4 linked regions of the Pelodiscus sinensis genome follow. The protein of the gene in region 3 interacts with the protein of the main gene of each other region in a pairwise test. Links are inferred from orthologs where the notes say so. Each region holds a gene or a part of one and is shown on either strand. Other genes may lie near its edges.

The links.
Region 1: the proteins of GADD45G (region 3) and TSNAX interact in binary tests that used the Homo sapiens proteins (3 or more experiments, as listed by UniProt). The two-hybrid records come from large-scale screens. The link is inferred for Pelodiscus sinensis from reciprocal best matches to the Homo sapiens genes GADD45G and TSNAX.
Region 2: the proteins of GADD45G (region 3) and ARPC5L interact in binary tests that used the Homo sapiens proteins (3 or more experiments, as listed by UniProt). The link is inferred for Pelodiscus sinensis from reciprocal best matches to the Homo sapiens genes GADD45G and ARPC5L.
Region 4: the proteins of GADD45G (region 3) and LRIF1 interact in binary tests that used the Homo sapiens proteins (3 or more experiments, as listed by UniProt). The link is inferred for Pelodiscus sinensis from reciprocal best matches to the Homo sapiens genes GADD45G and LRIF1.

What each region holds. Positions count from the first base shown.
Region 1 is NC_134713.1:123,989,652-123,997,596, forward strand, and holds the start of TSNAX (translin-associated protein X), read left to right. Parts: upstream 1-4,840; 5' UTR 4,841-4,961; coding exon 4,962-4,977; intron 4,978-5,155; exon of another isoform or gene 5,156-5,279; intron 5,280-7,489; coding exon 7,490-7,591; intron 7,592-7,945.
Region 2 is NC_134732.1:24,991,016-24,998,521, reverse strand, and holds the start of ARPC5L (actin-related protein 2/3 complex subunit 5-like protein), read left to right. Parts: upstream 1-4,404; 5' UTR 4,405-4,492; coding exon 4,493-4,633; intron 4,634-5,408; exon of another isoform or gene 5,409-6,695; coding exon of another isoform or gene 6,696-6,734; intron 6,735-7,506. UniProt on the Homo sapiens protein: May function as component of the Arp2/3 complex which is involved in regulation of actin polymerization and together with an activating nucleation-promoting factor (NPF) mediates the formation of branched actin networks.
Region 3 is NC_134716.1:47,518,876-47,525,695, forward strand, and holds GADD45G (growth arrest and DNA damage-inducible protein GADD45 gamma), read left to right. Parts: upstream 1-4,400; 5' UTR 4,401-4,516; coding exon 4,517-4,569; intron 4,570-4,751; coding exon 4,752-4,853; intron 4,854-4,976; coding exon 4,977-5,190; intron 5,191-5,545; coding exon 5,546-5,656; 3' UTR 5,657-6,270; downstream 6,271-6,820. UniProt on the Homo sapiens protein: Involved in the regulation of growth and apoptosis. Mediates activation of stress-responsive MTK1/MEKK4 MAPKKK.
Region 4 is NC_134737.1:14,473,669-14,480,816, reverse strand, and holds the start of LRIF1 (ligand-dependent nuclear receptor-interacting factor 1), read right to left. Parts: upstream 3,066-7,148; 5' UTR 3,007-3,065; coding exon 2,936-3,006; intron 1-2,935. UniProt on the Homo sapiens protein: Together with SMCHD1, involved in chromosome X inactivation in females by promoting the compaction of heterochromatin.

The sequences.
Region 1 (7,945 bases), on a different chromosome or scaffold from region 3:
TTTGGCACCTAAGGTGGGGAGCTCAAATGATGCCCCCTTGCCACCTTTTCTCCTGCCTGTCTGTTATGTCTCTTGTGCCCTCCTTTCTCCAGCACATCACTCCACCATCTCTGTGCATCTAGAGCAGAGAGAATACATATGCACCAGCAGCAGACACAATTTTCTACACTCTGGGTACTAGTGGTGTCCCCTGCCCCCCACAGTCTGGCACCTGAGGCAGCTGCCTCAGTTCACCGCATGGTAAGGCCAGTCCTGTTATTAACCCCTTGCATACTGGCCACTGCCCTCTATCCTCCTACTGTAGCTACTACCAGCCCCTTGTCAGCGGCATGATAGATCTCATCTTTCACTTACATGTCTCAAATAGCTTAGGCTATGTCTACACTACGGGGCTTTTCCAGGAAATTCTCTGCTGTGTCCAGGGAATGTGTCTTCTCTTCCACTTTTTTTTGTGGAAGAGCAGACGCACTCTTTTGGAAGCCTTGTCTTCCTCTTTCCATGAGGAAGAAGGACTCTTCAGAAAGAGGAGGTTTTTCCAAAATTTGGCCCAGTATAGACGGGCCAAATTTTGGAAAAGCCTCTTCCGAAAAAACTACTGGAAAAAGGTACGCAAATTGTGGAATGCAATTTGTGTACCTTTTTCTGATAGATCAGTGTAGTCTAGACATAGCCTCAGCTGCACTCAGCCTGGTTCTTTGCCAAAGCCAATCTCTGGTGAGCTCCAGGATGTGCTTTCTCTAGGGATTAGGGAGCCCTCTACTGGCTGGGTGTTGAACACACAGTGCCCTTCTCTGGCTAGTGATAGAGATGTAGCCGTGTTAGTCTGGGGTAGCTGAAGCAAAATGCAGGACAATGTAGCACTTTAAAGACTAACAAGATGGTTTATTAGATGATGAGCTTTCGTGGGCCAGACCCACTTCCTCAGATCAAATAGTGGAAGAAAGTAGTCACAACCATATATACCAAAGGATACAATTAAAAAAATGAACAAATATGAAAAGGACAAATCACATTGCAGAACAGGAGGGGGATGCGGGGGGGGGGGGGGGGGGAGGAAGGAAGGTAAGTGTCTGTGAATTGATATCATGTGCCGAAAGTGTCCGTCTGCTATGTACATTGGACAAACATCTCAGACACTTCGCCAAAGGATTAATGCCCACAAAACAGATATCAGACAAGATCACAAAGAGAAAACAGTTTCTTGCTATTTTAACCAGAAAGGACACTCTCTCAATGACTTAACCACCTGCATTCTGCTACAAAGACCTTTTACATCTGCACTTGAAAGGGAATCCTCTGAACTGTCATTTATGTTAAAATTCGACACTTTCCAAAAAGGACTCAACAAACATTTGAACTATCTCACCCATTACCAAGATAGTTTCCCCAATTATCACCTCTAATACCATTAACTCACAAACATCCCACTCTCCCTACCTCTAATATCATCAATTCACAGACACTTACCTTCCTTCCTCCTCCCCCCTGCATCCACCTCCTGTTCTGCAATGTGATTTGTCCTTTTCATATTTGTTCATTTTTTTAATTGTATCCTTTGGTATATATGGTTGTGACTACTTTCTTCCACTATTTGATCTGAGGAAGTGGGTCTGGCCCACGAAAGCTCATCATCTAATAAACCATCTTGTTAGTCTTTAGAGTGCTACATTGTCCTGCATTTTGCTTCTCTGGCTAGAGCCTCTCCCTCCAGCTCAGCTGGTCTGGAAGGAAGAAACCCAGTTACTGAGCCAGCACTAGAGTGAACATATTTCCCAAAAGGGAAAATGGGACATCACACCACATAGGTCTGGTCTGAGCCACTCGTCTGAGCTTCCCTCCCCATACAGAGGTCAGGCAGGGTTCAGACAAGCAGTAATCCACAAACTAGAGAGGGTGACCATATTTCCCAAAGGCTGGGATTGGTGTTGCTCACTCAAGTCATGATTGTCCCCACAGGAGCCCTGATTTCCATGGGACTGGACAGGCATTATAGCTCACCCTCTCTCCCCCACACCTCATTTTTTGTGTGCGTGACAAAGGTGGACATTTGTCCTGTTTGCTCTTGGCAACTGATCAAGCTGGCAAAAGCAAACAGGGCAAAGGCTCACTTTTACCCAAAAAAATCAGGATGGCTGGACAGGGCTTAAAAAACAGACTCTCTCAGCCAAATCAGGACATATGGTTACCCTAGCCAGCACGTTCATTACACTAGGAGCAAGGGAGTGGAATGGAATGGAGAAAAAGAGAGACATAGAGAGATGGGGAAAGCACCAAACAGAGAGAGGCCAATTAAGGCCCTGGGCCAGAGCAAGTGGGGGTCCCCTCCCCATCCCTTCTACCTATGGTCCTGCCCCACTACACACCTTTGCCTGCAGCCCTGCCCTGCCCATAGGACCACTTTATTCAGCTCCTTCCCCCACAGCCTTCCCTCTGCTCTACCCACAGTCCTGCCTCATTTTGAACCCCTGCATTGCGGCCTCACAATCTGTTTGCTCCTTTCTGCCCCACCTTGTGACTCCAATACCAGAGACGCTTCTGTCCCCTCACTATCGCCCTGGGGCTATGGTGGAGACTTAGAGCCCCCCTAGTTCTGAGGCCGAGGCAGGGTGTTAGAGCTCTTTCAGTCCTGGGGCTGCAGTGGGGTCTGGGTGCTGGGGCTTTCCCTGCCACTCTGGGCTTCTGAGGGAGACAAGGTTTGGGGACCTTGTTTCTCCTGTTCCACTCAGCACTTTTGCTGGGGAGCAAGATCAGGGTGCAGGGGCTTCTCTAGGCCTGCTGATGCTTCTGCCAGGGTTTCAGGCTTCTGTTGCCCCATAAAAGGATTCTGCTGGAGTGGGACATCAATTTTTCTAGGGTCACCCAATTGGCCAGGGCACTCCTTCTGCCCATTGGATCATCCACTGCTGATGGTAAAGGAGTAAGGAGCATGGGTGACTGAAGGGACTGGGGTTTAGGAAAGGTCAGAGCCAAGAGCAAATCAAGAGTAAATGGGAGAAGGCAGAGTCTATGGCATTGTCAGGCCAGAGTGCTGTGAACATTTCTGATTTCACTCCTCAGAGCTTGTCCTTCTTGCGGATAGCCCACATGATTAGGGCAATGTGAGCAACTTGGGGCTCAGTGTCCATAGAGATGTCTTCAGAGTTTCCTTTAGTAATAGAGATAACAAGGACCCAGATGGGCTTTTCCTCCCTCCCCAATTGCTTCTGCTCTGCACCAGGTTCCTGCCAGGGACAGGCCTTTTCTCCTGGGTCTGATTGTCTTTAGAATCCACTCCTTCTCCCTCAGTCCATTGGCCACCTGGTGGCCTAGAGGGGTCCCTCAGAGGTGATTCTCTTGCCAGTCCAGTCTAGGGTACCTAACGGGGAATGTCACACTCCCCTGCTCTGCTAGACCTGGGCTATGTCTGGATAATGTTTATGATAAGAAGTATTTTCCTGTATTATAGAGCTAATGTCCAGCCAGACTCTGTCCACAGGAAATCACATTGGTGTAAATTGGTAAATTTTACCCTAAACAAAGATCAAATTGTTCTGGATAGATATCAATAGTTAGGCTAGGGTGTACAGTTACTATATGTGAAAGTTGCGTGATACCAATTTTTTCTCATAGATCACACACTTACACTAATTGCAATATGGAACAAGTTCAAGGGAAGTAGCCAGTGCCATAAACCAGTGTTAACTAAAATCCCTGACAATGCAGCAGGAAAATAAACAGGGTTAGTGTTTCTATCTATGTTAGTTGTCTGAGATGGAACTGCACACAGAGTCAAAGGTAGTGGGTGTACTGTGAATCAACATAGTGGCATTACGATACTATCTTATTTGTGGATTATTCATCGCCTTTGACTTGGCAGCTATCTTTGTCAAATGTTGGCACCCTGTAAGGCTCTGATCCAGTACCATTCTTTCTGAGATACTTTGGAAAATTCTCAGGCCTTAGTCTGGTATCACTGAAGGTGACATACAGGCACTTCTCTGCATAGTTATTGGTTGCTCATGCACAACACAGACAAATGTTATTTGACAGTGTGGTTGGAGTTACCATAACTAATAGTATCAGAGGGGTAGCCTCTGGAAATTTCCACTACATGCATCTGACAAAGTGGGTCTTTGCCCACAAAAGCTTATGCTCCTACACTTCAGTTAGTCTGTAAGGTGCCACAGGACTCCTCGTTGCCATAACTAATAGCTTTCTAGAACTTTTTGAGAAGATGCATTTCATGAGTCCTCGTGCATTTTTACTCTTGCTTCCCCCTGGAGTTTTTGTATTTTTTAATCTGGTGGCAATTGTGGAAAAAAGAAAAGTATTTTTTGCAAAAGCAGAGACATTGTTTTGAGAAATTGATTTAAAAATGTTAAAAGTGAAACATTTTAATACGTGGAATTAGATTTTGTATTAAGAACTAAAAGGTTGGAAAGCGAGAATTTGGGATCTAATTTCTCCCCTGCCGGCTAGGAAGGAAAATCTGAGACTTGAACTTTGAGCTGCTGGCTTTTCGTTCCGAGAGGCTGGGGCTCGCGAAAGGCATCGGGTGGGTCACCACGTTCCCAGTAAAGAACTACATTTCCCACAATACACCGGTTTCACGGGTACGTAGTTAGGGTCCTTCAGTGGGGGTACTTTAGCCGTTTGAGGAATGCCTGTGTGGAAGCAAGACTAGTTTCCTTGACCTAACCCCTTCGCGGACAGAAATGCCGACTCCTTCCCCCTACGGTGACGTCTCCATTCTCACCACTTCCCGCTTTATGACCGCATTGAGGGGTTGGCTCCCGCAAGTTGAGGGCTATTGTCAGGCGCTTGCGATAATCACCTGACGGGGTCCTAACGGAAGGGGCGCTCAGGCGGGGCGGCTCAGACTGGAGGCGCTGGTGGCGGCGGTTGGCGGGGCCCAGGAGTGTGTGTGCGCGCGTGAGAGAGAGGGGCGGGGCGTCACCTCCCCCCCCCACCCAGCAGGGAACATGAGCGGCAAAGAAGGTGACGCTGGGGTCGCGCTTGGCGGCGCCAGAGCACGTCGCTGCTGCGCCCGGGGGCGGGGAGGGCCCGGCGGGTTCCCCGGCCGCGATCGGTGACCTTCCCCTCCCCCCCCCCCCCTCGCTGCTCGCCGGCCCCTGGAAGGTTCCACCCCCCCGGGTTCGCGCTGGCGGGTGGCTCCGCGGGAGGGACTCCCCCGCTCCCGAGCTGTGGCTAGAGCCGGGCCCCAGTGCTGCCCCGGCCGGGGCGCAGCGAGGCGCCGGAACGTCTTGCGCCGCCGCTTTTTCGCGCGTAGAATGACTGGGGTACAGTTTGCTTGCAACAGTTATAAATGTGATTACACTGGTATCGCTTATGGGGGCACTAAGCCATAGTGGAGCAAATGCATCATCGTTCCTAGGGATTGTAGCAGCACACTTATACCAGGAAAAAATCCCACCCTTTAACTGGCCCAGGCCCTGGGCTGCCCGAGGGCTACTCAGCTATGGAGGCCACAGTGATACTCACAGAACAAGCCTAGGGCCGCATCTTAAGTGTGGTTGCATATACAGGCAGTCCCCGGGTTACCTACAAGACAGGGACTGTAGGTTTGTTCTTAAGTTGAATTTGTAGGTAAGTCGGAAATGGTGTCCAGATTCAGCCGCTGTTGAAACTGACCAGCAGCGGCTGAATCGGACACGCCTGGGGCAGAGCAGCTGGGGTGCTGCTGGGTTGGTCCAGTAGTGCCGAGGACCAACCCAGCAGCACCCCAGCTGCTATACCCCAGGTGTTCCCAAGTCAGCTGCTGCTGAAACTGACCAGTGGCTGACTACAGGACTTCTTGGAATCAGCCTCTGATCTGTTTCAACAGCTGCTGAATCTGGACTGGGACAGAGCAACAGGGGCGCTGCCGGGTAGGTCACCGCAGCGCCGCACCTCGGCGCTGCGGGGACCAATTGGGCAGCAGCCCAGCTGCTCTACCCCAGGTGTCCCCAAGTCAGCTGCTGTTGAAACTGATCAGCGGCTGATTCCAGGAAGCCCAGGGGGCAGAGCAGCTCTGTCTCCTGCTTCCTGTAGTCAGCCGGTGATCAGTTTCAGCAGTGGCTGGCTTGGGGACGCCTGGGGCAGAGCAGCTGGGGTGCTGCTGGATTGATCCAGTAGCGCCGCACCTTGGTGCTGTGGGACCAACCCGGCAGCCCCCCCAGCTGCTCTACTCCAGGCGTCAGCGAGAAAAGCCTGGTCTGCTGGGGGGGAGGGGGGACGCACTAGCTGCGCCCCCCTCCCCCCAGCAGACCAGGGAGACGCGGAGCGGCTTTTCTCGCCGCGGGAGTCTGTTGTTCCATGTCGGGTGGAGGCAGGGCTCCAAATGTGGCTAGTGTGAGTTAAGGATGTTAATAATTAGTCAACTATCCAATAAGCAAATGCTTATTGGCTAGTTGAGTAGTTGATTCCCCCACTTATTGCCCCCATCAGAGGCAGCAAGTGGGGGGGGGGGGAGAAGAGGGGATACTTCAAAATGGCAGCACCACAAGGAGCTGACCCCGGACTCCATGTGGTGCTGTCACTTTAAGGGGGTTCTTGTACACTTCAGAGGAGGAATGCAGAAGTACCTATCAACTAGTCAGTGGAAATTCCATCGACTGCTCGACTAGTATATTAACTGATATTTAACATCCTTAGTGTGAGCCAGTCAGTGCCTCTCAGGCTCTGCCCGCAAAGCTAAGCAGCCAGCACCTTCCACAATACCCCGCCGCTCTCTGCATCTCCTCCCTAGGGGCTAGAAATGCTGACACCCTGTATCCGTCTGTTCCAGCCAGCCTGTCTGCTTGCATCTTGAAATGTTCACCCTGCCTGAGAGATGCCTCTCTATTGTGGAGCATGTTCCTAGTGATGGCCATGTTCAAAGGATACCAACCGCAGGTTGCATGTTAAGCCCTGCATAAACCCAAACTGCACTGCGGGCTGCAAACAAACGGGCCGCGGGCCACATGCAGCCTGTGGGCCATGTGTTGAGTAGTCCTGTTCTATGTTATGGCGTGAGATTGATCTTGAAACTTCAGTTATGTGAATAGTGTAGCTGAAGTGAATGTTCTTAGGTCTACTTACCACATTATCGTGCATCAAAAGGAGACTCCCAATCGACTCCTCTTGTGCTCCCAGTTCTGATGGAGTACTGGAGTCGGCATTGGCAAGTGACTTATCATGTCTGATGCTATAAATTGACTCTTGCTGGATTGATTACTGCCTGTTGATCTGGCTGGTAGTGTAGACATGCCCACACTTATACAGATTTTGTACTCGTGTGTAGACCAGTGTTTAGAAGAGGGTGGTATTTAGTGCTGGTGACCTAACTTTTCATAGTTCATTGTGTTCCTACGTGCTCAGTTTGAGGCTCAGTATCCATACAGAGCATTTCCATTACCTCCCTAAAAACACTTCTGAAATGAATGCCATGACATCTGGTCAAAATGTTATTAAATTGGCGATCAATAATACTATTTGAATCTCACTTTTTTCCAATGTGTTTTATTTATAGGATCGGGTGGGTTCAGAAAACGAAAGCATGACAATTTCCCACATGGCCAAAGGAACGATGAAAAAGATAATGCTAATTCATCTTTGGTGGTGTCTTTTAAGTGTAAGTAAAAGTTGAAAGTTCAGACCGTGACCTTAACAATGTGTACAATAAAAGTTAGTGGAAATAAAATATTTAATGATGGAGTAAAATACAGTTGTCCATAGGCAAGATTGAAATCAGCAAAACATCCTTAAATCTGGAGCTTGATCTCTTGCTTTCTAAGCCAGCAGTGTGCCATGGTAGAGATGATGCGGTAATATTTTAGTTAGGGGAATGGTGAGACACAGCGCTTCTTGCTGATTACAAAGGATATGATTCTGTCATGGACTTCTGAGGCAGAGCAGGAGCCATGTCCCCTAAAACAGCCATCATTAGAGCAGCTTACTGGCTGTCAGCCCTGGAGCAAGTCCCTGG
Region 2 (7,506 bases), on a different chromosome or scaffold from region 3:
TTAAATATTGCAAATAAAACTCCTACTTTGTTGATGTGAGCATGTCTTCTTTCCTCCTCAGTAAGAACTACTTTGGCTATCAATTATAGAACTGATCTTAATGTTACGATACTATGTTTTGGACACAAACTTTAAAAGAGTGGTTCTCTTCTGAAAACTGAATGTATAGAAATGACATGATTCATTACAGCCACTCCTTGGATAGATGTCACTTACATACTAAAATAAGTTATTGCTTGTCACTTCTGTTATTGACTCTGCAAATACTAATGTAGCAGAGACACGAGCTGGGTCCTGTTCTTGCTTGTAAATTAACAACATTGTTTAACCTTGTTGTAACTGTAATAGCTTAGGTTGTTTCTGAATACCACACCAATCTTGGCTTTGATTTTAGGTAAAAGGGATATTTGTACAATGGATTTGATCTAGAGGTCAATGAGAAACAAATAGGGAAGTCCACAAAACCACTCTTGAAATTACTTTTCAGAGGAGAACTTAAGCAGTTGTGCCTAAAATACCTAATTCCATATTGAAATTTTGGAAAAAGCCACAGTAGTAAAATCGCAATATTAAGCATCTAATAGTGTCAGCAAAGATTCAACAGCTGGAAAGCAATTAGAGTTGGCAGTGGGTAAACAGGTTCCTACCAAAGAAAATGTTGAGATTTTAATTTATAAGTTTTAATTCTTGAGTGCAAGTAAAAACACTTCTGAGTCCAAGACTGCGGTCTTGAAACATAATTTAACTTTTTGGACAGACTCTTATAAGTCACAGGTATGGAACAAGTCCTGGCACTACCAAAGGGTTCTATTGCATTCTTACTCAGTTTACAGTTTGTATATTTATAGCATCTCTAATGGCTCAAGTTAACAATCTCACTGGGATTTAAGAATGTGCTATTTCCCTTTCACTGTCACTACTTTCCTAACATTTCAGAAGTATTCTGGTGAAGCCAGGCAAAAGTAAAACAGTTTATGTAGTTTTGAACATACATGCTCTTTTCATAGGATAACTTACTCTTTAACAATCTGATCTTTTTGACTTCATATAAATGAAGAGCAAGGTACTAAATTTATAAGTAGATCTGGCAAGGATCATGGGACAGGTAGACTCATTGGATTCCTATTGATCTCACATGTGGTACAGAAACCCACAAGTGCACTTTTCTTGGATTTGGACCTTGATTTCTATAATTTTGTAAATGGTATAAACTGAAATAGAAGCACACACATTCTCTGAAGACTTTTCTTAGCTTTGTTGGGTCAACAGTTGAAATATCCATGCCTTGAATCTTGGAATAATTTGGGAGTTGGGGAGGAGGATTTTTGTTTTACAAGAATGTGAATCTGACAACTATAATTGTGGAACACTGGAAATTCATTTACGTCTTGATATGTGATTAAAATTAATTTTGTTTACTTGAAACTCCTCTTGCACCAATTCTGTCTTACATTGTATATTTATACTTAAAAACTGGTCTGGTAACACTTTACAGACTAACAAAACCTGTAGATGGTATCATGAGCTTTTGTGGGTACAGGCCACTTCTTCAGATAACCAGAGTTTTGAGTTTAGGATGTGCAGACCCAAAATAAATAAGGGGGAAGGAAAAAAAGAAAGGTGGGGGAGGGTAGGAAACAAGGAGCAGAGATTATGAAAAAATCAAAGGGAAAAACAGGAAGGCAGAATAGGCAATCAGTAATTACCTGAAGATTGGATAGTTAAAATAAAGCAGATAAGGATCAAAGTCAGTAGGGGGGGATACTAACACAAAAATCTACCTAAAGAGCTGTTTGCACCTTCATTGAATGTTTGGTTGGTAATGGCCCAGCCATCCCTCGTCCCAATTGAGCCCATTAGCATGAGAACTGAACTTGCAGATGAACTGTAATTCCAAAACGTCTCTGTGTATTTCACTGGTAGAATAAATAGGCCTGAATACCTATGTCCTAACACCATTCAAACATGGAACTTTGTTTCTGGGTCAGTGGTGGACAATAATTTTGAGGGGGGAGCACACCTAAGAATTTGGTAAGTGGTCAAGGGCTGTACTCTTCCATGAGATTAACGAAAGAGGGGTAGAGTCTGCTATAGCGGTTGGGTACAGAAGAGAGCTCAAGGTAGGAAAATGGAGTGCAGAGTCCAGGAGCAAGGATGGGTACAAGAGAAAATTGTGATCTGGGACAAGGGTACAGAGGGTGGATTATGACCTGGGGCATTGAATTGGGATGTAGTAGAGGGGGGGGTGTCCAGTAGAGGTGCTAACTGACAGGCACTTACCTTAGGTGGCTCCAGGCCAGCAACCCACTGGGGGACTCTAGCAGGCTCCCTGCAGACCATGTCCCCACATGCCACTCAAAGCCCCTGGCTGTGGGGACAATATGCTCTTTGTAAGCTGTGCATCCTTTGGGAGACAGGGTGTTGCCTATGCCACAAGCATGGCCCAGGCAGCTCCCATTGGCTGGTTTGCAGCCAATGGGACCTGTGAGATTGTGCTGGGGGTGGGGACAGCATGCAAAGAGCACATGGCCCCCACAACCAGCTGCTGTGAGCAGTGTGCAGGGAAACAGCAGGCAGGGAGCCTCCCCAAGGCTCCCACTGAATTGTGAGACGGTGGCAGCCAGATGCGGTGGTTTGGTGGGCCAGGCTGTGGGCCGAATTTTGCCTGCCCTTGTTCTAGACCAGCGGTTCCCAACCTTTCGTAGCTGGGGACCCATTTTGACAATCAGGAAGACTTGGTGACCCAAGGCAATTAAAAAATGGAGGAGGACAGAGACACTTGGCAACCCTTTTGAAATGTAATGGAGACCCATATTTGGGTCCTGACCCATAGGCTGGGAAACCCTGTTCTAGACTGACCCCCTCAATTGTGTAATGCTCAACTCCAAATGGTATTTCTGTAAACTGTTATGGAAGAAGTGGTGTGATTATTCTAGGTGCTGCCACTATCTCAGCTCATGCATGTAGTGTGATACCATTTACTGATCTGTTAATCTAGTAGATACACTTCATTTACAGCAGGTTCTTTTTAGGGCAGTAATTGTATTAAAATGACAGTTTTCAAGTCTTGGATAAAACTGTACCTGAGTGGTGGCTTCTCTGATCCCTCTACAGTGTCCAATTATGTCTTCTCTATTACACAAAAAAAAAAAAAAAAAAGTTTGCATGAGAAAATGTTGGAAAAATCAATTGATCTTGATTGCATTGATATTATTGTTAGACTGTCATGAACTTAACTGTTTTCTTGTATCTCCAAGGCACAATTCATTTTCTCAAGAACAGAGAAGCAAACTGAAATGCTTGACAGGAGAAATGAAGACTTTTATTGGAATTGAAACACAGCTTGGGGGTGGGGAGAACCTCAGCAATGGGGAGTAGCATGTAATTTCTTCATTCATAAATCTAGCTGCAAGAAGTCACAAACCACCTTCTTCCATATCTTAAAAGGAAATGTCCATTTATGAGATGGTTGAACCTAGTAGCATAACTTTAAAAGGAGGGCAGAGTTGAAATGGTTTGTCATGTAATTAAAATATTTGGTATGTGGACCTGGCCACGTAAGGAGCTGGGCTACCGTAGCCCTACGCTTGCTATGGTTTAATGTGGTTCTCAACTTTTTTATTCTAACCTGCCCACCCCCCCACGTAGAGTTGCCAGATGAGTTCAACAAAACTACCGGACACATGTGACATTGCATCACAATCTACATTGCATCGGATTTAGAAAATACCCGACACTCCCATTGTCTCCGTGGCTGCGGCTAGATTGGCATGATTTTCCGGAAATGCTTTTAACAGAAAAGTTTTTCGTTAAAAGTATTTTCGGAACGGAGCGTCTAGACTGGCAGGGCACTTTTCCGCAAAAGCACTGTTTGTGGAAAGCGTCTTTGCCAATCTAGACGCGCTTTTCTGCAAAAAAGCCCCGGTCGCCATTTTCGCCATCGGGGCTTTTTTGTGGAAACCAAATCAAAGCTTTGCGCAAAGGGGCCTTTGCCGAAGGGAGCAGCCGGCATTCCCGCAGGAAGCCCCATTCAGACAGTGGGGAGTCCGTGCTCTTGCGGAAATCCAGGCGGCCGTGTAGGCAGCTGGCAGGTTTTCCGGAAAAGCGGCTCGTCTGGACACAGCCGGGTGTTAACCGGACCCTTGGGACACGGGCCTGCCGGTTCCACCCGGACCCCCCCCGCAGACACAAGCCAGGGCGCGTGCCCGGGGGGGGGGCGCTCCGGCTCCCTGCCCGCGGGGGAACAGCTGGCCTGGCGCCAAGGGCAGCGCTCGGGGCGGGGCTCCCTGCGGCCGGGCCCCGCCCCCCCGCGCCCCCCGCACTCCGCCCCGCCCCCACGGCCGCCTAGCCCCGCCCCTCCCCGCGTCCCCGCCTCACAGCCGCACGCCGCCCTCGTCCTTCCGGCTGCTGCAGACTCCCCCGGGGGGCGGGGTTTCCGGTTCCGCCCCTCCCGGAAGCGGCGCGCGGCAGGCGGCGGGCGGCTCGCGCCGGCATGGCCCGGAACACGCTCTCCTCGCGCTTCCGCCGCCTGGACATCGACGAGTACGACGAGAACAAGTTCGTGGAGGAGCCGGACGAGGCGGCGGCGGCGGAGCCGGACCCGGGCCCCGAGGTGGAGGCGCTGCTGAGGCAATATCCTTGCGGGCGGGGCCGCTCCCCCCCCGGCAATGGGCTCTCCTGGCCCAGGCTCGTGCGCCTGTGGGGCCCCTCCCCCCCCGAGACCCGTGCTCCTCCCCCCCTCCCCCGCAACGGGCTGGGCCCGGGGCTCGTGCGCCTGTGGGGGCCCCTCCCCCCCCGAGACCCGTGCTCCTCCCCCCTCCCCCGCAACGGGCTGGGCCCGGGGCTCGTGCGCTTGTGGGGGGGGGGCCCGCAATAGACTCGGCCCGAGGCCATTCCCCCCCCCCCCCCCCCCCCCCCCCCCCGCAATGGGCTCTCCTGGCCCAGGCTCGTGCTTCTGGGCATTTGAGTGAGTCACGAGGTGCCCGGGGCTGCTCGCTCGTTCTACTGTTCTGCGTGGCCCTGGGTTATATGGCAGGTCTGAACAGCCCTGGGCCTCGGCCGCAGTGTGGGCTTTGCTGGCTCCATGGACTCCCAGGGAGTGGGGTCTTGTGTTTCAAAACTTTGGGAAATGAATGTTTCACAGAGACTGATTGGACGAGGTTAAATAGCTCTGCGCAATTTGAAAATGTGTACAGTTGGAGAGGTATAAAGGGTATAATGTAACTGTTCTGCGGTATTCCATAATGCTCCTAGGTAGGGATGTGCCCAACTAGTCAACTATCCAATAAACAAATGCTTATCAGATAGTGGACACACTAGTGGATTAGTCATTCCCTTCTCCCCCTCCCCCTGTCAGAAAGAGGTGTGGGGGGGGAAGAGAGAGAGAGAATGGCAGGGGTGCTTCAAAGTGGCAGCACTGTGTGCAGCCTGGGGCAGTGCTACATGGAACCCAGGTTCAGCCGGGGACTGCCCTGCTGACCCTGGGCTCAATGTGGTGTTGCTGCTTTGAAATGCTGCGTGATGCCTGATGCTAGGCTCCCCATGGCATTTCAAAGCAGCAACGCTACATGGAGCCCAAGGTCTGACTCCAGTCTCCACGTGGCACTACTGTTTTGAAAAGCCATGGGGAGAATGGGGCCAGCGGGGCACTGCTTGAGTCCTCCACTGGACCCATGCTCCCCACAGTGCTTTTGCCTTTGAAGTGTAGCAATAGTCCTTGGGGTGTTGCTACACTTCAAAGGCAGATGCACCCTTATCAATTAATCAAATAGTCTATGCAAATTGCATTAACTATTCAATTAATGTCCCTACTCCTAGGTAGGACTCATTTATATTATAATTTACATTCTAACATCTGTTAAAGTGCTAAAAATGCGTGGATCCCTAAAATATTATCCAAATCCATCTCGCCTTTTCATCTGCCTTTTGTGGTCCAACTTAATGAGTTCTAATCACATCACACTCTTTTTACATGACAAATATTCATACTTTTCTCATTTGTATGTGCTATTTACAAAACCCAGAAAAGCAAGCAGCAAACATAAAAAATGAAAGCATGTCCCAGACTATGCTTTAATTTTGATTAAGATTGCTATCTCTTTGCTTATGGGGTTCTAATCAGATCCTGAAATCTGAAAAAACCTGAAGTACGATTGCAGGTACTACATTTGCATATTGCACCACCAACAGACCTACTAGTTTAGCAGCTTAAGAAAAGGGATTCTGTGGGACCTGATAATTTTTGTAGTGGTGGTTGTAATTTTTAGTTTATAGTGGATTGTTAAAAACATTGGAAGCAAATTTAGTTACCTAATACGGGTTGCAGACAGAAGTGGATAGAGAACCTTATATAGAAGGAGAATGTTCCATTGCCTCATCCCATTTCTGAAACAATTTTTCAAGTAGGACAGTATGTTTTGAAGTGAGTTAATTGAGCCAAACGGATATAAAAATGCTTAAAATAACTGTCATCAGCCACACTGGGACCTAACCCAGATTATTCCTTTTATTAAAATGCCTATATAGAAGATGAAAGCAAGAAAACGACTTGTTTTCAAATTAAGCCTACAGCAAGTATGTGTTTGTATGAGGTGAGCTGGATGGTCTCTGACTGGGAGTGATCTTCAGGAGAAATAGTAGTTTTAGTTTGTGCATCTTAGAAAATACCAGGTGGAGTTGTGCAGATCTCTCCAAGGTCACCTAGAGAAAAGCGCATGATAGCCTGGGTCTTCCACCTGCAAAAAGGGCACAAGCTTGCACCCATCACTAACGTACATCAATAGTGACTGCTTTACCACATGTGGAGAAGACAAGTTCATTCTCCCCATTCACTGCTTGACTTCTCTGCTCAGACTGTTAAAAAAATAATTGTGGTGGTGTCTGGGATGTGGGATTTGTCTTTATTAAGGATCTGGATTAAGCCTCACCAAATCATTTCAGATAGCTGCTCGGACCAATCAGACTTGGTTTCTAACAAAACTGGATTCCAGTCTGGCAGCGAAAGGTGATGGGCTCTGTTTCTCATTACCAATCCTCTGAACTCTCTTGTACCTATATTTTGTAGTTAAGATTCCTTTACTGTAAAAATTAAATTAGGTATCAGGCCAATAAATTATTCTGTTTGTATAATTTGATTAGTAACTAGTTTCAGTATGTGCTGACTCCTTTATATGGATCAGAATGCTTCCTGAGCAGAAGCTGACCCTTAAGTTGCATTCTCACCAAATAAGATAAAGTGCATCCTGGAAGACTTCTGAACAAGTGTTAGGAATGACTGGATTAACTACTTTATGGTGGGATTATTTTTGAAACCAAGTATGAAGTTGATAACATAGTTTTGGATTGGTATGTATTTCAGAAAGGAGCTCTGCTATTAAGGAAGTAATTAGTTCTTTACCGTCCTGCTATTACTTGTATTTATAAGCATGAGAAAAATAAATAGCAGATAGTTTGAGAGTTTACCAGTTATAGTTGCAAGTACATCAAGCTACTTTTTAGGTGACCTGT
Region 3 (6,820 bases):
GATTATGTATTCTTATAATAGGCTAGACAAATAATTTTCAATACTTAGCACATGTATAGCATTTGACATTTGGAAAGGAGTGAATACACTTGGGAAAATTTGATCCTGGTGTAAATTGGCACTACTGTACTGACTTACCTGGAATTCTCTGTTTACATTAGGACTGAATATGGCCCATTTATTCTCTCAAACCCTCTGTGAACCAGATATGATTATGTTCCTTTTACAATTAAATAAATTAAGAGGTTATGATGTTCTCAAGCAAGTCCATTGCAGAGGCAGAATTATATTGTAGGCATTGTGCATGTGCCTAAAAGCCAGCCTCTACTACAGTAAATGTGGCTAAATTTAATATTTGAGAATACAGACAAAGCAATATTCCAGGCAGTCTCTTTAGTGAACTGTATTCCACACTAGATGTAATCTGAGAAATGCTATCAGGAAAGAGTTGGTTTATCTAGTATATTCTCCTGGACACCCAAATTAAATGGAGATTCCATAGGAAATTATTTTTGGGACCTGAAATTAAACAGCTTATTTTTTGCTTACAAAACCTGAATATATTGCAGCCATTAGACTTTAATTCTGATTTTGTCATTGATATAGCAATATTAGTGTTCATGAAGTAACTAAAAATAAACATAAAAAGAAATAATACAAAGTGTTACATTGGAAGTCTGTCCAAACTGAACAGAAATTACAGTACAGTATTTTAAAAGGCTGAAACTTTTCTTTGGATAAAATAATACATTTAGCATACATTGCCACAACAGAGGCAGGAGTCTCTAGTCCAGATGCTTCTTGATCTAAGATTCCTAAATGAAGCAGTGAAGTATTGAAAAGGACACTTGCAGTGTTCTGGACTCAAATTATATTTAAAGATGGACTATATGCCCCCAGGAGATTTGGTAAGAGGCTACAGACTCCTTTGTCTATAGGTTGCTGGAGAAAATCCTGCCTAAGTTAGTAGCAATCATATATCATTACTTCATGATGACTTTCTAGTGGCCTGTGTGAAACAAGCTGGTACTGGTCTCAGCCCTCAGCTCCCCTCGCCCCCAGACTTTTTATGGGACAGCTCTCCATGTAACAAACACTTCCTGTTAGCCTCAGCATTGATACCAGTTAATTGAATAGATATAGAAACTGAAAATACCCTCATCTTGGTTCATCTGGCACTGATGCCATTGTTGTGGGGAATCCTGTATTACTGCTAGCTCTTCTTGGGGGGTGAGGGGGGTTAAATAGAAAACTTCAGTTTTCAGTTAATTAAATCCTGCTCCTTTCACTCTAAATTCATTTAAAAGGGCACTATATCCACAAATTTGATCCCAAATTAGATTTTCTAAAATCAAGTTTCTATAAACGTTGGCCCAACTGGAACATTTCTGCTTATTTGAAAAACAACTTTTAAAAACAAACTAGATATTCCCTGTCAGGGCTTGCAAACTATTGTAGCCCAGAGAACTTGACAAGGAAATGGACATAATTGGTTTTTACTAAGTGAGGGTATGTCTACACTAGCTCCCAAGTTCGAACTAGGGTGGCAAATGTAGGCATTCGAACTTACAAATGAAGCCCGGGATTTAAATATCCCGGGCTTCATTTGCATGTTCCCGGGTGAGCGCCATTTTTAAATCCCCTTAGTTCGAACGGACTGCCTGCGGCTACACACAGCAGTCAGAAGTTAATCCGAACTAAATCCTTAGTTCGGATTAACTGTTACTCCTCCTGCAATGAGGTGTAACAGTTAATCCAAACTAAGGACTTAGTTTGGATTAACTTCTGACTGCCACGTGTAGCCGCGGGCAGTCAGTTCGAACTAAGGGGATTTAAAAATGGCGTTCGCCCAGGAACATGCAAATGAAGCCCGGGATATTTAAATCCCGGGCTTCATTTGCAAGTTCGAATGCCTACATTAGCCACCCTATTTCAAACTAGGGGGCTAGTGTAGACATACCCTGAGGCTACGTCTACACTGGCCCCTATTACGGAATAGGCATGCTAATGTAGCACTTTGGAAAAGGCAAATGTGCGGGGGATTTAAATATCCCCCACGGCATTTGCATTTTCATGGCCGCCGCTTTTTTCCGGCTTGGAGATAAGCCAGAGAAAAGCATCCAGACTGGCGCGATCCTCCGGAATAAAGCCCTATTCCGGAGGATCTCTTATTCCCGCTTGCAAGTAGGAATAAGAGATCCTCCGGAATAGGGCTTTATTCCGGAGGATCGCGCCAGTCTGGACACTTTTCTCCGGCTTATCTCCAACCCGGAAAAAAGCGGCTGCCATGAAAATGCAAATGCCGCAGGGGATATTTAAATCCCCCGCGCATTTGCCTTTTCCAAAGTGCTACATTAGCATGCCTATTCCGTAATAGGGGCCAGTGTAGATGTAGCCTGTGAGAGGTGCCAAAAGCAAAATGGCAAAAATACTCTAAACAGAGTATTCTAAGGCTATGGTAATATTAGCGATATTGTGTATGCACAGTAATATAGATAGAGAAATGTTATGGGGGTTACATTCTGATTTAGATGGAAGTTTTTCTAGAATGTCTTTTGAAAAATCTAAATCAGCATTATGTCATTTGTAGTCAATGTAGTCTAGTGGCACAGTTAGCATACACTTATTTTATAAATACTGTATATTGTGCATTTAATACTTTATCTCAGGGTTTTTCTTCATTCTAAAGACAATTTTATATCATTTATTTGTTAGGTAGTGTCTAAATCATTAAGCCCACAAGGTGGTGCAATTCTATTTTATTCCTGATTACCATTCTGCTAGAAAATGCAAACCTTATTGTAAGTGTACAGAGGCATCAGTTTCTGTACTCTAGAACAAGTACAGGGAATTATACATCAGGCTTTTGGATAATTTGCATATGGATCATGGCTTATAATATGTGTTGTCCCCTTTTTGGTTTGCCTGTATTGGTTCTTCCCTCCCACAGCAAATCCTTTTAGTGTCTGCACAGTAACTTGTATCTAGGGCAAGGCGACAGTAGAGGATACATTTTAGCAGCAGCTGCTTCAACATCCAGTAGATAGCGCTACTAATCAAGATGACTTTTTAGAGTGAAAGAAAGCAACAGGGATTTCTGGAGAAATGGGTTCAAGTGCATGAAGTACACTGATTTGGATACTTAGTAAAATGAAACTCTTGATAGTTTTCAGGGCGAGTGAGTGCGTGGAATATACAGTGAGTTCATAATCTACAAACTGTGTCAACTTTTTAGTTTCTATTAAAACTATTGAACAGTTACATTTGAGGAAATAGATACATATCTAATGGGCTGTTTTTAATTAATTACAAAAGCAGGCTCTGCATTACCTTTTCCAAGTTTGTATTGAAATACTGGATGCTTACTTGCAAACTGTGCATGTGTAATTTTCTGAAATGTATTGTGTATGAAAGATTAAAACAAAGAACTATAATAAAGTATTTAACTATTTAATGATCGCGTGCTCAAAATGCCTGGCATTCAATTGCACTCCAGAAGCGTGTGCAAATGGAGACATTCATCTGCAGAGGCAGATTGGACGATAGGAGAGTAATGCAATTGTCCTCTCTTGCCCTCCACCCCAGCAGCAAATCCCCACCCCAGTGGCAGGTGGACAGTGTTGCTATGAAGAAAAAGAATCAATTGTTTGAACTCCAAACTGCCACACGCCAGACCTCCACTATTGTGCGCTTTCTATTGAAATGCAAAGTAGCAGCGTGTGCCATCCACAATCTGCTCCACACAACGACTCATTATTTATGCAGGGCTTGTGCCCTCATTTTGGTAAAGTTTGCAAGAACATTTCTGCAGCCATCTACGGAGCTAGTAAGTTTGCAAAGCAAAGATAACTAGTTAGCTGGGATAGGAACACAAAACATGCAACACAAAAGATGCAAACTTAGGGAGCGAGATATACAATGACCCACGTGTAAATGTAGGGTGTATTTGTAATGCAAAACACTCTCTTCACCGTTTACTTCTTTTTGCGATATCTGCCTTAGTTATTTTTTAGTGTTCTCTAAATGAACCGGTAAGAGTTGCATTAGTCTATGTAATATTTTAGTGCATTTTGCATCGTTTTTATTAAGGATGCAATGACACCAGACAACTCAACGTAATGTATTCCCCTTTTATTACTTTTTTTTTTTTACAATTAAATCTGCAGTCTGCCTGGCAACAAAATATAACAAAAGCAGCAGCAGACTGAAGGCAATGTAATCCCCCGCCCCCCCTTACCCCTCGCCACTACCCCTCCACGTGGCCTCCTGGCACGAGCCGGCCCAGCCTACCTCCTGATTATCATAATAATACTCCCTTAGGCTGGCCAATGAGGGCTGCAGAGACTCCGCCAGCTGCCGGCCCCGCAGCCAGGCTGCTTATAAATACGGCCGCCGCCGCCAGCTCGCTCCATTCTCGCTGGGGACAAGAGCAGAGCAAGTTGGAGGGAAGCGGATCGGGGGGATCTTAGCGCCGAGCCGCCCCGCGTGGATACGGATACAGCGTGTGAGACGCGACATGACTCTGGAGGAGATTCACGGACAGGAGCCAGTGGCCGAGAGCAGCGACAGGTGCGTGGCCGCCGGAGCGTGCGGCGGGCCCCGGGACTGAGCCCCGGTGGAGAGGGTGGTGGCGGGGCTCGGAGATGCCGGCCGGGGCGCGGGCGCGTGCAGGGGGTAGCCCGGAGGGGAGGCTGACCTGGGGGTCTCGCGCTGGACCCGGGACTGAGCCGCCTCCCCGTTGTGTGTTGCAGGATGCAGGGCGCGGGCAAAGCCCTCCACGAGCTGCTGGTGTCGGCGCAGCGGCGCGGTGGCCTCACCGCCGGGGTGTACGAGTCCGCCAAGCTGATGAACGTGTGAGTATCCGAGCTGTGTGTGGCTGGCTGGGGATGAGGGAGGGTGCTAGAGGCGGCCCGGCGGGGGCTGCTGGGGCTGTACCACTCTCTGTCCCCGGGCTGACAGCTGCTCTGTCCCCACAGTGATCCCGACAAGGTGGCGTTCTGTGTGCTGGCAGCGGCCGAGGAGGACGAGGGGGACATTGCCCTGCAGATCCACTTCACCCTCATCCAGGCCTTCTGCTGCGACAACGACATCGACATTGTGCGCCTGCATGACATCCCAAAGCTGGCCGACATTGTGGGGGCCAGCGAAGAGTCGGGCGAGCCCCGTGACCTGCACTGCATCCTCATCACGGTGAGTGCCCTCTGCCAGGCCTGCGGGCAGCCCGGACCTGCCCCGCTGCAGCTGCCCCTGCTGCCACAGGGACTTAAGATGTCCAAATGCCATGCCCCCTGGAGTCTCAGAGCATGGCTGGTACAGGGACTGATTGCTGATCTTCAGCTAAGACCACACGTTTCCCTGCCACCCCAGTGCCAACGGTGCCTTGTTTCTAGGCAAGAGATACCTGCTCATTTAAAGAGACTAGTCCTGCTTTCTGTGCTAGCCCCTTCACCAAACCTTTCCCCAAAGTACCTATCTCTTGGCATTCTAGCTTGGTAATACCAACTCATGAAGTGTTTTGGGTTTTTTTTGTCCTTGTTTATCACAGAATCCAGATGAGGATGCTTGGAAAGACCCTGCGCTGGAAAAGCTCAACTTGTTTTGTGAGGAAAGCCGGCATGTCAATGATTGGGTGCCCACTATCACCCTGCCTGAGTGATGAAGATTCATTGCACTGGAGAGGTTGAAACCTTTGTTGCATTCTCGTCATGGTGTTGCACGCCTGGGTGAACCAACACATTGCTGATTCTGTGGATTAGCCTGGTCAAGAGATCGGATTAAGTCGCTCAGACTGGCAAGCAGTGGGCTCTTGTGGAGAAGGAAGATGTGAGGGAGGAAGGGGATGTCTCATGCCAGGAGTGAGTCCCTACTACCTTGCAGTAGTGGAATGGCTGGCGTGCCAAGGAGCTGAATGAGTATTGCAAGTTTCCAGGAGCTGAAGAAATATTGCAAGTTTTCAGGTCAAGTGGAAGTTTAAGAAAGCTGGACAGAAGGTTGGGAAATTGGACAAAAATAACTTGGAAAGACTGGACAAAATATTGTAACTAGGAACTGTTGGCACTACAAAACTTTAAGAGGAAAACACTTTGATGGTCTGTTAGAGATTTGTTACTGTGACAATATACAAAGACTTTTCTGCAAAGACTCTTATGCAGACACAATTTATCAAAGGCCTTTGGGCTGTTTAGAAAACATTGGTTTACTAATGCAATAATACTCTTTATGCTGCTATGAAAGCTCTAATGTTTATAATAAACTTTTTAATATAAATAACTCTTGTGTTTTGCTTACTGTGTGGGGAAAACCTCATTGTCCTTTTTAAAGTTCAGAACTTGCGTTTTCTTTCATATCCCTGTGCTCCTATGAAGTGCTATAATCAACTAGACCATGGTAATGTGCCCTTACTTGAAAATACTTATTTTTATTTCTGAGGGATATAGCCATGCTTTCTAGTCACTGATAATTTGACCTTTCACTCCTTTGCAACAGCTGCTGATTTCAACAGCTTGCAATGCGAGGAGCTGCATGCTTAATGAGCTGAGTTATTGTAGTAGGCAGCCTTTGTAGTCCATTAGAGGCATACCACACGTGTTCCAAGATAATTTAAGTTTCATACCTCTGGGTTTTTAAAATACAAAAGATTTAGTTACAATTTAAAATGCCAGTAATAACTGGAATCCATCAAAAAAGTTACTAGCTGGCAGTAGCCATGCCTGAGTTTTACAGAAACAAAATATAATGAAAGCCTACATGCCCTTCAGATTTCAGGTGCATTTCACACTTTTAGACTACAAGTAAATAAACCTAAAAGATTGCAGACACA
Region 4 (7,148 bases), on a different chromosome or scaffold from region 3:
CTCTCAACCATTGTCTGAAGGAGAAGGATGTTGGACCCTCAAGAACCTGTACTCCAAAATGTTTATTCATTGATGTTAATAGATATTCCTTCAGTAGGTTACTTCCCTCCCCTACCTGCATTTGAACAAAAGTAACATTCCCCTCAATCTGAGTTTACCAGAATGGCATCTCCAGTATAGTCTTACCAACTCAGTCTTTGCAACCATTATGAAAGGCAAGCCGTGAATTTCTAATGTGAACGATAAAGAACAAAATTATGATTCTCTTTCTCTCTGAAGAGGAAAAAATTCAAAACAAGCAAAAGACTTTTCAGTCCTGCATGATACCTCAATGAAGCGAGAAGGTACAATAACAGCTTCCCCTCTTTTCTTTTAGCTACCTTATAATAGTGTGCCTTTAACCTCAGTCATCAAATTGTTCATTTTGTGAATCTCATGTAAATAAACCCACTAGTGGACAGCTAATTCGCTACAAATTTGGGAAGACACCATGATACAGGCTCCATTCTCTTCCGATGTTAACTCTGAAACCTCAAGCTGGAAATCTAAATGCATATTGTAAATTGGGAGCATGTGGACAGAGTAAAATAAAAAAACAAACTGCACAAGGAAATTAATTGCCTATTTTTGACAATCAAACCAATAACCTAAATAAAAAAAAATCAGAAATTGCAGCAGAGGCTACAAGAACAAGGGATCTTGCTCCAGAATTTAGGTCTAGCTTGCTTTAAAGGACTCAGGGCTTTGGCTTTAACCAGGTAGTTGTAGCAGAAGCATAACAAATCCTTTTGCTCTTCAGGATTGTAGGATGACAATGTCTTCCAATGATGAGTGCACAAGACTTGTAGAATTAGTTTTATGCTCCTTGGTGACAAAGTTGATAAAGAAATCCTTAACATGGATTAGGCTTAGGAGTTGTTCATTGCCAGAACAGAATGATTCTTAACTTCTGAACCACAGCTGCACCAATCACAGGAATCCCATGATGTTCTTCATGAAGCATTAGATGTTCGAGAGATTCAGAAATCAGAAAGTTCTATGAAGCCATTGCTGCAATTCCATGTCCATTTTTAGTCTACATACTATGCAGCAATCTAGTTTCTCAATTTCAGAGGGCCTGAAGAACTTCAGATTTCAGTCGTGATTAAGCCCAAATAGAGTCAAGGGATCATTCAGACTGTAAAGCTTTTTCTACAGACTCAAGATTCAATAAGTAAGCTCTGTTTTCACAGCTGGTTGCTCTTCTGAATGTTTGAAGCTCTGGCACTCGAGAAAGAATGTTCTTTTAGAATAGTCACAACTCAAAAGTGCATTCCAGCTTACCATGTTCTGAACTCATCTGTTTAATAGACTTCTCCTGCTCCATCGGAAACAATCTGTCTTGATTCACACAGTCAGAACCGGAGAAAGACAGCTCCTCTTTACTGTTTTCAGTGAAATTGTTGATACAATAGGGCCTAGTGTGTTCTCCATTTTTTTGTGTGTATTTTAAACATCATTGAGTTTCCTCATTTGCCTCTTGGGAGAGAGGAAGACAGACAACAGAGCTGAAGGCCAGAACTGCAATTACAGGGACGTAGAACTGCAATTACAGGGACGTAGACCAGCGCATCTCTGATCTTTCTGTAACCTCTAGGGTTCGAAGCTGCATGCCACTCAGTGCAGCTCTCCTCTTCTCACTGAAGGAGGTGACCTAACATGGCTGAAACAATATGCACTTCTCTAACAAGCGAGCTACCTAGAACACAAACTAAGGCTAATGGTTCCAGCTTAGTTATTAACAGTGATGAGCTATTTCTAATGACTGTTTAGATTAGAATTAATACATTGCACTGATTAGATTTGGCCTGCTCCCTTAAAAAGGTTAACCCTGCCTGCAAAGAGGGTACTGACATAAAAGTTAAAGTGGGAATGAGTAACTGCCCTTCTCTAGATTAAATATAATGCAAGACCACTCAACCTCAGAGCTGTGAAAAGAGGAAGTTTTGCTCTGACTCATGCTCCATGGAAGAAACATCTTTGCTCCATTGAGATTTATTGTACCTGTAGAGTCATTGCTCTATTGGCCAGTTCTGTTTGCATAAGAACAGACCCTTCTATACATTTTATTGGGAGAAACCACACAGTGATATAGACCTATGCACAAGAACAGACCCTTCTATATATTTTATTGGGAGAAACCACACAGTGATATAGACCTATTCTGGTAGTCTCTCTGCCATAAAATGAGCTTATTGCTATGTCCTTTCCAATTCCTTTTCTATTGACCTGGTCATCCCTTCCATCCTGTAATGATCAGATAGTTTTCAACATTAAACACATGTAAGAGGTGTAGCATTTTTTTAAAGGGTGGTACTAATCACTGGATGTGTTCTACTTTTAAGATCTGGACTAAGCCACTCATGAGAGCCTTCCACTTTCCCCATGAAGATCACAATGTAGTAGGCTAACTCACTATTGCTTACTGTACAAACGTTTCCCTCACTCATGTGTTTACACATAGCTGTGGCACTTCCTGCAGGACCCAGGGCTGCAAGTCACATCATCACTATCAGTAGCATTCGACATGCATCTGATCAAGCGGGTCTTTGCCCACGAAAGCTTATGCTCCAACACTTCGGTTAGTCTATAAGGTGCCACAGGACTCCTCGCTGCAGTAGCATTCAGTGTGAGGGACTCTTATCTGAATGGGCATCAGGTAACACGGCTTGGCCTCCTCAAATCTCCATTTTCACTCCTTGTTGCAGCCCTGGGACCACACGATGGCAGGACTCAAAGCTCTTCTGGACACCCAGGGTGGTGAGCTGTGCCAGGTACTGCCAGAACAGAGGCAGGGCTTCGGCTGTAAGGATGGCAGAGTCTCAAATAGAAGGGAGAAGGAGCCTAGCCTTGCCAAGGGGGAGGAGGGAGAGCATGTACTGCCCATAAGACTGACCTAGAGCAGGGAGCTACACATGGGTTCCCAAAATTAGGGATGTTTTCCTTTGCTGAAGAAATTCTTGCCATTGGAAAAAGCTGCCCAGTCAAAAGCCCAGTGACGCTTTACAGAGGAATAACGTGCTCTGGTGTGTGACCAGGTCGGGGTGAGCAGGGCGCGCGTGTCAGTGTCACACACAACGCGCTCGGCTGTGCCCCTCCAGCACTGGACAGAGCAGGGAGCGCAGGCTGCAGGCTCAGCCCCCCCCGCCCCGACTCCCTCCTGGGCCGGCTCCGCACCCGCGGGGACGCCAGAGCCCGCCCGGCTGCTGCCAGCGAGGCCCCGGGCGGGGAAGCGGCGCGGCGCCCAGGAGCCCCCGCGCGGCCTGCGAGCGGCCCGGCCGGGTACTCACCACTGCGCGCCGCTGCCGGGCCCGGCCTCGCAGCTCTGCGGCGCCCCCAGCGGCGGCCCGGACATGGCGCGCGGCGCTGGCCCGGGAGGCGCCCCCCCGCCCGCGGCGCCGCGGGGCTCTGTCCGGGGCCCTGCCCGCGCGCGGCGGCTCCGTGCTGGGCGGCGGCGCGCGCTGCCCGCGGACTCGCCTCACGCCCCCGCTCGCGGGGCAGCAGCCGGCCCGCGGGAGGCGGACACGTATTTCCGGCGGCGGGCGCCTCTCGCGAGCCTACTGGCCCGCTCCTTCGCGCCGAGCCAATCGGGAGCAACTGCCCGTGCAGCCACTTCCGGGTCACGGGGCCGAAAACACAGAAGAGCGGCCGGAAATGGCCGCCTGCTCGCTTGTCCGCGCAGGCGCGACGAAAGGTCACTTCCGGGCGTGTGGGAAACACTTCCGGTAAATGAGACTCACTTCCTGTTCTAGGAAAGAAGAATTCAATGGTTGTGTTAAGGCTCCCCAGCATGTGCAGCCCAGAGTGTGATTCCCAGCTACTCCCTGACTCCCCACCATTGACACCCCACATCCCATCACCCTCAGCTTGCCCCAAGGATCCTCACTAACCTCCCCAGGCACCCCATGATCCCTTCAGTCTGCAGCCCCACACCTGGCCCTTTATCCTCCACTCACCCCAACTCACCCCAGTCACCTCTCACTGGCCCTCTATTAGCCCCCCACCCCCAAGTACTAATCCCCAATTACTCTTAATTTCCAAATCATCCCTACTCCTCATCTCTTTCCACCAACCCCTATAATTAAATCTCACTAAGGCCACATGGGCCCCTTCATTCTCCAGTCACCTCAACGACCCCCGGTTACCTCTTACTGCCCTTCCCATTGACCTCCCCACTCCCTATTACCCCAGTTGTTTCCTAGTTACCTCTTACTAACCGCTCCACTGACACGCTACTCTTCATCCAACTGACCCTCTCGGTTATCTTCTACTTTCTCACCCCCAACACCCATCATCCCCACTAACCCTGAGTCATAGAATCATAGAGCTGGAAGTGACCTCAGGAGGTCATCAAGTCCAGCGCCTTACCCTAGGCAGGACCGATCCCAACTAAATCAACCCAGCCAGGTCTTTGTCAAGCCGAGACTTAAAAACCTCTAGGGATAGAGATTCCACCACTTCCCTAGGTAACCCATTCCAGTGCTTCACCAGCCTCCTAGTGAAATAGTTTTTCCTGATATCCCCACTGTAATCCCCAGGTCGTTTTCTGCTGAACTGCTACTTAGCCATTCAGTCCCCAGGCTGTAACAATGCTTGGGATTCTTCCATCCCAAGTGCAGGACTCTACACTTGTCCTTGTTGAACCTCATCAGATTTCTTTTGGCCCAATCCTCTAATCTGTCCAGGCCACTCTGGACCCTATCCCTGCCCTCCAGCGTATCTACCTCTCCTCCTAGCTTAGTGTCATCTGCAAACTTGCTGAGGGTGCAATCTATCCCCTCATCCAGGTCATTAATAAAGATGTTGAACAAAACCAGTCCAAGAACAGATCCTTGGGGCACCCTGCTAGAAACTGACTGCCAACCTGACATCGAGCCATTGCACTACCTGTTAGCCCCAACAGTCTAGCCAGTTTTCTATCAATCTTACAGCCCATTTATCCAATCCATATTCCCTTAATTTGCTGGCAAGAATGTTGTCGGAGACCATATCAAAGGCTTTGCTAAAGTCAAGGTATATCACATCCACTGACTTTCCCATATCCACAGAGCCAGTTACCTCATTATAGAAGCTAATCAGATTGGTCAGGCATGACTTGCCCTTTGTGAATCCATGTTGACTATTCCTGATCACTTTCCCCTCTTCCAAGTGCTTCAAAATGGATTCCTTGAGGATCCCCTCCATGATTTTTCCAGGAACTGAGGTAAGACTGACTGGTCTGTAGTTCCCTGGATCGTCATTCTTTCCTTTTTTAAAGATGGGCATTACATTTGCCTTTTTCCAATCATCTGGGATCTCTCCCGATCTCCACGAGTTTTCAAAGAGAATGGCCAAAGGCTCCTCAATGACATTTGCCAACTCCCTCAATATCCTCGGATGCATTAAATCCGGGTCCATGGATTTGTGTATGTTTTAGCTTTTCTAAATAGTTCCTAACTTGTTTTTTCCTCACCAAGGGTTGTCCACCTCCTCCCTATACTGCGTTGCCTAGTGTATTTGTCTGGGAGCTGACCTTGTCTGTGAAGACAGAGGCAAAGAAAGCATTGAGTACTTCAGCTTTTCCCACATCATCTATCACTAGGTTACCTCCCTCATCCAGTAAGAGCCCCACACCCTCTCTGATCAACCTCTTATTGATAACATGCCTGTAGAAACCCACCCAACTGATCCCCCAATTACTCCTCATGGACTCCTCATTTTCCAGTCATCCCTAATTGACTGCCCAGTTACCCCATACTGATTCCCCACAGTTCTTTTCTGTGACCATTGGTTCTAATTGGCAGAGGGCAAAAAGCATAGATTTTTACACTTATCCCCTAATTAGGTTATGTGCATGATACTTCATCAAAGGGTGGTATGTGAGTTCTCTACCACGAGTAACTAGCCCACTGGTCATCATAATAATTGTGAAATGTATATAGTGATAATATATAAGAAATTATGTATTTATGCAGAAAATTATATTCTTCAGTTTTAAAGGTAAGGCACATTTTAAAGCTAGGCAGGTTACCAGGAGATGATTTTACTCAGAAATGTTCCTTTCAGGCAGAAATTAACAGACACCTAACTTCCTGTCTGGCCATTTGGGATAAAATGGTGTCCTTGGCCTCTGTTTGTCAGAGGCTGGAGAGGGATGGCAGGAGACAAATCACTTGATCATTGTCTTCAGTCCAGCCTCTCTGGGGCACCTGGTGCTGGCCACTGTCGGTAGACAGGATACTGGGCTAGATGGACCTTTGGTCTGACCCAGTACGGCCATTCTTATGTTCTTATGTATACCTCACAATGTATTCCACAATGTACACTGAGCCAGGGGTGGAATGGAAGATTCTGAAATATACCCAAGAGGACATTTTTAAGATGAAATATACAGCTGATGATGTGAGTGTGGGTTTATAAGTAAAGACACAAGATTGTTATGGTATCTCTTGGGATGCAATGAAACACACGGGGTCCTTAAGCTGCGAGGCAACTGACTTCATTCTTGTAGCACTAAAAAAGGGTGATAGCCAACCTGGCCGTAAAGCATTGTGAGGATTTGGGGTGAGCAATACTTGGTTAGACTTAAGAGTATCTTGTTAATGGGAGTGCTGTGATTTTATATGTAACAATTTGTTTCCAATACTTCTACTCTCTACTACTTGAATCTCTATGTGTAGTCATATAGACTTATACAGATTTAGCGACTATGACCTTGTGTTCTTGGCCTTGATTTCCCTCTTCCCCACACAAGGGGGGAATGGCTGCAGAAAACAGTCCAGGGGAGATAAACAGGGGCATCTCCTGAATGGGACTTGGGAGCTGGAGACATGATAGTCTTCAGGCACAATCTCAGGCTCATTGTCCCTCTCCTATATGATCACAGGGCTTCCCCTAGGAGGGGCTTTGGGTACAGTGCAGACTGTCATGCCTGGAGTCCTGCAGCCTCCTCTTTGTCACCGAGGGTGGTGTTTTACTCTTCCATCTCAGCAGCACCCTAGGCTGCAGATGCAGAAGGAGTAAACAGTGGGGGGGGGGGGGGGGGGAGAGGAGGTTCCAGTTTTAGAACATTGACAGTGACTATTGTGGCAGGAAGGACTTGACTCTTTTCCACCACCTCTTGTATTTAA